Linked DNA regions of Caenorhabditis elegans. The protein of the gene in region 2 purifies or fractionates together with the protein of the main gene of each other region. This does not show direct contact. Each region holds a gene or a part of one and is shown on either strand. Other genes may lie near its edges.

Evidence for each region.
Region 1: the proteins of mdt-28 (region 2) and mdt-30 purify together in Caenorhabditis elegans (affinity purification with western blotting, with the first as the bait; one study listed by BioGRID). This does not show direct contact.

Annotation. Positions count from the first base shown.
Region 1 is NC_003281.10:8,024,625-8,030,116, forward strand, and holds mdt-30 (Glutamine/asparagine-rich protein mdt-30), read right to left. Parts: upstream 3,419-5,492; 5' UTR 3,414-3,418; coding exon 3,233-3,413; intron 2,890-3,232; coding exon 2,730-2,889; intron 2,329-2,729; coding exon 2,103-2,328; intron 1,954-2,102; coding exon 1,759-1,953; intron 1,470-1,758; coding exon 1,336-1,469; intron 1,290-1,335; coding exon 1,167-1,289; intron 1,119-1,166; coding exon 979-1,118; intron 927-978; coding exon 815-926; intron 769-814; coding exon 639-768; 3' UTR 561-638; downstream 1-560. Other genes in the region: F44B9.2 (uncharacterized protein), read left to right, coding at 101-208, 263-360, 411-503; F44B9.8 (putative replication factor C subunit 5), read right to left, coding at 3,691-4,324, 4,385-4,525, 4,578-4,752, 4,803-4,908, 4,975-5,025; F44B9.9 (uncharacterized protein), read right to left, coding at 5,281-5,336, 5,384-5,492.
Region 2 is NC_003283.11:15,573,490-15,577,198, forward strand, and holds mdt-28 (Coiled-coil domain-containing protein mdt-28), read right to left. Parts: upstream 1,917-3,709; 5' UTR 1,908-1,916; coding exon 1,850-1,907; intron 1,586-1,849; coding exon 1,257-1,585; intron 954-1,256; coding exon 732-953; 3' UTR 654-731; downstream 1-653. Other genes in the region: fbxa-94 (F-box domain-containing protein), read left to right, coding at 1-362, 414-617; atx-3 (Ataxin-3 homolog), read right to left, coding at 2,193-2,677, 2,823-2,977, 3,028-3,173, 3,222-3,389. UniProt on the Caenorhabditis elegans protein: Plays a role in normal growth and development.

The DNA.
Region 1 (5,492 bases), on a different chromosome or scaffold from region 2:
ACCAAGCAGCCCAGATAATGCAGAACATAATTTTAAATATTTATCAACAGCGGCTCAACAACAAGCCCTTGTGACGAGAAATAAAACTAGTAATTTCTAGGCCGTCGAAATTATGTTCTACTGGTTTCTGTACGGGAATCTCGAATTGTAGATAGAAAGCGAATGGCAATTTGTGAACGTCCTGGAGCTTTGGCAAAGGATGAAGCTGGTAAAATTTTCTGGATCATCATTTTTCGGAAATGTACAATTTTGACATTTTTAGGTCGCCTATTCGTATCTAATCGGTTCTCTGCAAGTATCCAGTTAGTTGACACAATGCGTTGGGTATCAGAGAAAAATGTGGCCATTACTGAAGCTTTTGTGAGTTGTAAAAGTTTATCCAAATTCATTTTTCTGAAAATGTTTTCCAGGTCCGCCATTTCACAGCATGTTGGGGACTTTTGGCAATTCCATTGAAAAATGCAGTTCGTCTCCAGAGATATTCTTTCCGTTCCCTTCGATAAACTCCTTAATTTTTAATCATATTTTTTTCAATTTGCCCTGTTTGTAAAAATAAAAACTTCACAACTTCAATCAATTTTACATGACATTTTAAGAAGATAAATTAATGAATTAAAAAAATAATTATATATTGTCTACTAGACTTGATCATCGGTTTTCTTTTTAGAAATCTTCGTCTGATCCACTTTCTTCAAATGTCCCGGACTGGTAACATCGATTTTCCATGCCAACGCTTTCAGTTCAGCCGCCAAGTTTTTAACGATTTCTCTGGAAGTTAGAGAGGATTTGAAATTACAAAAAATTATGTACTCACTTATTTGCCTCAAACTGCATATATTTCTTGTGAAGCTCTTCGGAAATCCATTTTCCCTGATACCATATATGTCCTTCTACTGGTGGTGTTTTAGAGATTACAATCGCGAATCCTGGAAAATTATTCAAATTGTTGTAACTTTGAAAAGTAAGAGAGAAAATTACTTTGCTCCAGCTCTGCTCTTCTTTTCTGTCGTTCTTCATCCATCGGTTTTTTCAATTCTGAGTCATCAAGCATCAATTCAATGTAGTCTTCACCAGTCATTCGTTTCCATGTGGGTTCACGGCGTTTTTCAATTATTTGTCTGAAAAAAAAGATAATTATGACTGGAATAGGTACAATATCAACTAACCGAATGTCACTCATTCTCTGCAAAGCGTTTTTACACTGATCAGCCAAATCATTCGGATTTTCTCCTTGATTCAATGGCTTCCGTTCCATTACTTTTTTGAGTATCGTTGATAAATATGATGTTCTGCAAATAATGTATCAAATGATATATCTTATGATTAATTACTTACTTGACATTGAGATCATTAACCAACTCTCTTCCATATAAACACAATTCTCCCGTTGAATACTTTTCTAAATTAGTTTCTTTTTGCGGCGACTCACGGATGTGTGATTGTGGTTCTGTTTGCTGAGCCATCGTCTCCTGAAATAAGATAATAAAATTCTAACACTAAATAAATGTGCACAGAGTGAATGCTCGACTTCATTCAATAACTTGCACACTACAGAACAAAATGGTCTATAATTTGTATTCAAAGCGTGTTTTGGTGGAAAATTGCATGTTGTGGGGGATAAAATTCGACTTTGAAGTAGTTTCCACGGAACAAAATAAATTTAATAAAATTTAATATAGACTCAAACTAATTTCAGAAGATTAAATACAATATTTTTTTAATCAAATTCGTATTTATCAAATGATTATTTCCACAAACCTGGGCTCTTTGCTGTGAAGAAGCAGATGTTTGTTGTGGTGGATGACCAGTTTGTGGTGGAATTGAAACTGTTGGTGGATTCGCAAAGGCTTGTTCGGCTTGAAGTTGTCCAGCTCTGTTTTGTTGTTGTTGCTGATGTTGTTGAAGCATGTACTCTTGCTGTTGTTGTTGCCGTGCAGCCAGTTCTTGCTCCTGCTGTTAAACGATTTTAGATATTTCGATTCAGAATTTAGATTCTTAAATTTCTGAACAAAACTATGGCGTGATCAGAAAAATTATTAAATTCAAAAATCATAAAATTAAGCTCTTGCTGTCAGAATTAAATTTCAAGTTTTATAACTCACCAATTGAGCATTTCTTGCTTCATTATCCGGTCTCCGAGCAATTGTTTGAGTTGGTGCAGCATGAGGATTAGTGGCTGTAGAATACGTTGTTGGTTGTTGAAGAAGTTGACTGAGATGGGATTGTTGTTGTGGCGGAGCTGGTGGAAGTGGAGCAGAAGAAAGATGTTGAGCAAGAAGAGAAGTTGTCGGATGATGCATTGGTGGAGACGAGAAATCGGGCATGTTTCTGAATATAAACAGTTATGAATGTTTTCTAAATAAATTTTTTTTGCCAGATTCCAGAATCCCTGAAGCGAAACTCTGTGATTTTTGCAAAAAAAATACGGTACTCGGTCTTGGCACGACACATTTTTGTTAAATGAGGAAATATGTGTGCGAAGAATTGTAAAAAAAAGTGTTCAAATTTTTTTAAAAATAAACTAATATATTTTTATTTCAAATTTTGAACTTTGAAAAATTGAGGAAAATTCGGCAGAAATTAGTTTGAAACTACAGTATTCTTTGAAGGCGCACTACTTTTAATATTTACAAAAATTGTCGTGTCTGTGGAGACCTGGTACTATATTTTTGGAGTAAAAAAGTAAAATTTCGTGTTTGGGAAATTATGGAAAAATTGCTGAAACTTACGGATCCATCATTGGAGGCATTCCTTGTGGCATTCCAGGTGGCATCCCATGCATCGGTGGATATCCATATGGATGACTTGAAGGAGGCATCCCAGGCATTCCGGATGGTCCTGCTTGCATTCCGTATCGATTTTCTTGACTCCACATTGGTTCTTGTTTTACTGAATATGCTTCAGGGGATTAGAAAATGTTCTTTTTTTTTTATGGGGAAGGAGATTTGGACTTATTTATATTATGGGATTAGGAGAATGTAAATCTGACTTTGTAAGTGTTTTCTGTGATCCGATCTAACGGAAAGCTTTGCAAAAATGTGGATAATCTATATCTTCAAAGGTTTAGCTTCAAATAAATATAATAATCAAGAAAAACTTGAAAAATGTTTTTCAGGCGCGATTTGCACATTTTATTTCAATTATTTTAAATGCAAATATCAAAATTGCAGCTGTTGGGTGAAATTCCACAAGAGGAATTATTTTTGCATGATATTTCCAGCTAAAGCCTCACTTTGAATTCCCATAAACGGTGGTGGACCGCCTGGAGGCCCCGGTTGAGGATATTGAGGAGACTGTGGAATGTATGGCATCGGCATTCCAGCTTGATACATTGGATAATATGGTGTAGGTGGAAATGGTGGAGGTTGATTTGGGTTGCCAGGCGGGTAATTTGGGGGTTGATTCGGATTCATTGGTGCTGAAGTTTTGGAATTTCATAATTGTTCCGTTTCTGATTCTGATATTGAGAGAGCGATAACTTACTCCACAGTAAAATTAAAATGTAGTAATCAAGTTGCAACCAGTTTATTGGATATTCATACATGTAAGTGTAAAGTCAACTTTTTCACAGATCGAGGATAATAAATGAGGTCACTTAAAAAATATAAAAATATACTGAGAGATCAAACAATTTACTCATTTCGTGAAAAATAGGAATCACCGAGACAGCCAAAGGAGAATAGAATACTCTTAAAATTCCATGTCTTCAATTTCCAAGTTCTTCATCTCTTTCACACACAAACGTTTTGCCTCGAAAAAAGCTGCAACAACAGCTGCAAGCTGTGTTTCATTAGAACATCCAGTTGACAAATTCTCCTCAACTTCTCCTAATCCAGTGATAATAGCTGACATTGCTTCATCTGGGATGTCCAAAGTGAATACAAAATCGTGGAGATGAGTGATGACATCTTGAAGGGCATATCCGTTCTCGAACAATTTCGTTTGAATTGTATTCATACATTTTTTCGATGGATCATTCAGTAGAGTCTTCACAACTTCTTTCATTTCTTTCGGTGTCGGCTGTCCAATACACTGGTAAACTGTATTTTCTGAAACTGTATCGAAACTCATTGCAGTACTTTGAAGTGTGTTGATGACAGTTCTCATGTCACCTTTTGAAACAATCAAAAGTGCATCTTTTCCATCTGGAGTCATTTTCAGTTGTTCCGTCTCCACAATGTATTCCAACCGGGGAACAATCAGTTTTTGATCTAAGGGAGCGAATCGGAAACGAGTACAACGGGATTGAATAGCTGGAACGATTGATGCCAAGTAGTTGCAGATGATGCAGAAACGAACGTTGTCCGTGTACTTTTCAATCACTCTGAAATAAATATTTACATTGTGGATGATTATATTTTGTTCATAATCAGTTTTATCTAACCTTCTCAATGCATTCTGAGCATCCTTTGTCATAGCATCAGCCTCGTCAAGAATCACAAGCTTAAACGGCACAGTGCCTGTGTTGGAAGATGTCGAAAATGCTTGAAGTCCTTTTGTTTGTGCGAAGTTTACGATGGTGTTTCTGAAAATTGCTATAAATTTAAAAACGCCTGATCAATAGTTTATCTATTTACCTCACAACATCAATTCCACGTTCATCTGAAGCGTTCAATTCCAATACCATTGACGCCATTTTCGTCGGGGAATACATTTGTCGCGCTGCTGCTAACACCGTCGTCGTTTTTCCAGTTCCAGGTGGTCCGTAGAAAAGAAGATGAGGCAATGTGCGGTTTTCAATAAATTTCGTCACTAAAATGTCTCGAAGTTAAAATAAAATTTGAAAATTGGAAATAACTCACAAGTTTTTACAATCTGCTCGTGTGCGACAAGTTCGTCCAACTTGCTTGGACGATATTTCTCCACCCATGGCAAATTTGAAGCTGTTGTTGTAGTCATTTTGGTTAGCTAAAATTCAAGAATTAAATTAAAATAATCAAAACGCAGCAAAAATAAAAAAAGGGAATAACAAACATTCAAAAATTGCAGAGAATGTTCTTCTCGAGAACCGGTTCTAGAGCCCATCGCGACATTCGCGGCAAAAATGTTCTCCGAGAGGATTTCACGAGGCTGTCCACTGGTCGCGGCGAGACCCATTCAGTTTACTTTTGGCAGAACCTTTGAAGAATTTTGACATTTTATATATATATATATATATGAGAAGCTTCACTCTTGATGGCAAAGCACATGTAATTTTGCAAAATTTTGGAATAAAAAACGGAGGAAAAAAGTTGAAAAAATAATTTTATTGACATCAATCAATATTCATAGGTGGAGGAGCTAGCTGGGCAAGTTGTTCGAGTTCTTGGAGAGACGCATATTCCGATGATCCAGGGCTGAAAAAGCAAATAGGAATACAAATAAAATAAAAACGGAAACTTACAATTGTGTGACTTCATCTGGAGGAGGAACATTTTCATTGCAAAGTTTGGATTTTTCATGATTGAAATGCTTATTTTCCCGTTTGACGCCACTTTCATGACGGCACCGCT
Region 2 (3,709 bases):
TGGGCCCGGATTTCGAGGGAGTCGATCGAAAGAAAACTTCAGAGATCATCCGAATTATGTTGAAATCCGTGAAAAAAGTGGACGTTGGAAAGCTCACAATCACTGGATTCATCCATGAGGAGATCCCAATGATTCTTCAATACTTTGGAAGTGATAATATTCAAGATCTGAAGATCGACGATCACATTTGCTTCGACCATATTGGAAAAGTCGTCGAGTCGAATCACTGGAAGAAGGCAAAATCCATTCATTTCATCTGGAAAAGCTGTCTTTGCCCAGTTTTCATGCATCTCACACACTTTAGTGATATTCAGATCCACATGAAAAATGTTTCCGTGCATGATGCAAACCGTATCATTCAGGTAATCTGTGCTCGGAACAGCAATTTACCTACTTATTTTACCAATTTTCAGCTTCTCCAAATCTCTGCCAACTTCAAATCGCTTAACATCACAACATGTTGCGTACAGGATTTTCTTCTTGTCGTTAAAGTTCTCCAACCAAATTTCATCCAAAGAGTTTTTGGCAGTGGCTCTACCGACTTTGCCATCAACGGCAAGAAATTCCATGTCGAGTTTGATCTGAACAACATCAAGATCGAAAAGAAAATTCGCTAATTTTCCGGTTATATTATTATATTGTTGGTTATAAACTTGTTGAGTTATACATTTAGATTTAGATTCGAGAAAAAAGTAGCAAAAATATACAAAAATAGCAAGGTAAAAAATAAATTAAGTGGTAAAATGTTTCCCAGCATTTGGATGTGCCTCATTGTAGATCTGAATCCGAGAGTTCAACATTTCTCTGGCGGCTGCGATGATAGTCTCCTGCCGTTCGATAGCTTCATCCAGGTTCTCCTCTTCAATCGCATATTGTGAATATGGTTGTTCCATTTCCCATTGAACACCGAGACGCGTGAACTCGTTATTCACATCGACAGAGGCATCGCGGAACTGAAACAATTAAGGATTTAAGTTTTTTTTTTGAAAATTGGAAATTGGAATTTTTTTTTGAAAATTACTAAAATGAGCTCCAAATTTCAAATTTTTGAATGAGAATCCTCCAAATTTCTCTAACATTTTGAATGGTAGACTCGAAAAGTAAATAGAAAATTCAAGTATTTTTATTTTTTATTTCAAAAATCAAAAATGGAAAAAAATGTTTAGAGAATTACCAATAAAACTTTGATAAATTGGTTTTTTTTAGGTAAAAAAGCTTCGAATTTTTCAGATTTTTTCCAGAATCCCACCACGTACATGTTTACTGCAGACTTCTGCGACTTCCTTAACATGATTAAGTGTTGATGGTGGTGGAACGGGCGCTTTAACCGATACATTCGTCAGCAGCTGACACCAATGCATCATAAGCGAATCGATTGCGTCGCCCAGATAAGTTGGCTCGATCGGCTCTTCGTCATCCTCGTTCGTTGAGCCGGCTCCATCATTTCTCATTCGTCTTTCGTCGTTTTCAATGGATCCATCAGCGGCTCCTTGTGGAACACTATTCGAGTATTCGTCGTCTGGAAGATCCGGAGCATCGCCGAGAATATCGTCAATGTCCTCACCGCCGCCGCCGAATTCTGGAACTATTAGATTTTGTAAAATATTTTTATTATTTCGGCTCAAGGGTGCCATCAAATAATTTTTTAAAGTTTTTTTTTTCAGAGAAAATCGGGAAAAAATGATCAGAAAATTAACAAAAAAATTCAATTTTTATCAAATTTTGTATTAAAATAGCTTAAGATATTGCCATTTTCTTCTTTTGAGTAAAAAAACTGGGAAATCCTACTCCTCGTGGAGCACTAGCTTAAGCTCGAATTCGAAAAATTTCTTGAATTTTCAAAAATCACCATTCATTGGCATTTCCTGTTCTTCTCCGCCGTCCTCTGCATCCAATTCCTCGAACATTTTCAATCTAAAAAAAATGATTATTTTTTCCAAAAACTCTAAAATTGAAGGTAGTAATACTCATGGAATGCCAGAATAACTTTGAAAAGGGCAACAAAATTCAGAAAAAAAGGAGATTTCATCTAATTCTAAATAATATATCACATAGTCTGAAAGCGGTTCATACATAAGCACCAAGTATTTGGGGATACAAGTATCGGGAGAAATGAATAATCGAATTATACAGGAAAAGCCGAGAATATATTCACATAATAGAATTCAAATAATAAATTTACGATTAAATCGTTATTTTTCATCGTTCCTCTCTTCTTTCTTCTTTTCGAATCGCTCCAAAAACTTTTGTCGATCTCTGCGCTGTTGTTCGGCATTTGAAAAAGGTTCTGAAGCTCCTGGCGGCGTCGAAGATCGAGAACGAGTCAATAGCGGTATCTCAGCCGGTTCTGATGGTCCTGGAGCCTGGCTCAGCTCAATCGCCTTTCTGAGATTTTCTTCATCGATTTCAGCGGAACTTCGAGACACTTCAGAGCCATCCTTTGTTTCCATAGACATTGCAAAAGCTATCGCCAAATCTTTTTCTTCTTGAGAATCCGGAGGAGCACCGCTTCCACCGCCAAGTCGTTTTCCGACGGTATTGAAGAATTTTGTCATGACTTTCTCCAGCTTCTGCTCCTTTTTCGGTGTAACTTTTGGCGGTACAACTGGGCATAGCGAGATGAGATCGTCTGCATCGGATCTTGGCAAAACTCCCTGCACCACGAAGATTGAATAACCTGAAAATTGATAAATTAAAATAATTTTCGATTTTTGGAACTTTTTTTCAGAAAAAAAAATCAACGCTACAGCTTGTAGTTTAGGGATAAATAAAAATCTGGCTCTAATTATCAAAATTTAGCTTCAAAATTCATGAATTTATACCTTCCGACGACACTTGATGCAAGAACATGCTAACATAAGTGTCAGAGAGCAATTTGGGCCCACGGTTCACCGAATTCAGCTCGAACCATTGATTTCCGAATTTTCGGAGCACAAACCAGTGCTCTCTGAGGTTGCATATGTAAGCACGGGCGGTTCTGAATTGGAAATTATGAAATTTTTTTGTAAATTATATGGTAACTCGTACAAGGGATTATTTTTATAGTCCACCATCGCAGGATTTTCGATATTTGTGAGCTTGAGGCTAAATGTTTCAAGTGCTTTCTCCAAAACTTGAATTGAAAAGTAGCCGCTTTCGTTCATGTTCTCACTTCGTCCCGGAGTTGGGTTTGCCTGAAAAATCAAGAATTTCAATTAAAATTTTTTCGTATTTTCCATTACATTTCCCAGAATTTGTTGTTCCATTTTATCCATCTGAATGGCCAAGTCTCGGAGATCTTGCCACTTGTACAGAGCATCTTGTAGGAGCATATTCAGCGCGTGTTGAGCACAAAGAGCAGCTTCCTGGTGCTCGAAGAAGATGGAGTTGATCGGATCGTCTTTTGACATTTTTTGGAGCTGGAAAAATTTGGATTAGGGAAACGAATGGAGAAAATAAATAAAACACCTCAAATTTTGGAGAAGAAAACTTGGAAATAGTTTTATTTTTTCGATTTCACAATAATATTCCTCATGCTGAATGCCAAAATCGATATTTTTTGTAAGACGGATAGGTTTAAAAAAAAAATTGAGATTTTATAGGAAAATTCGCGAAGAATTGTTAACAAGCTGTTATTTTTCGAAAAAAACAACACGACTTCTAATGTTTTCCATGGAACTCCAGCACAAAACTGCAAAACCATCGGATATATTGTTAGAATTTTTACAGG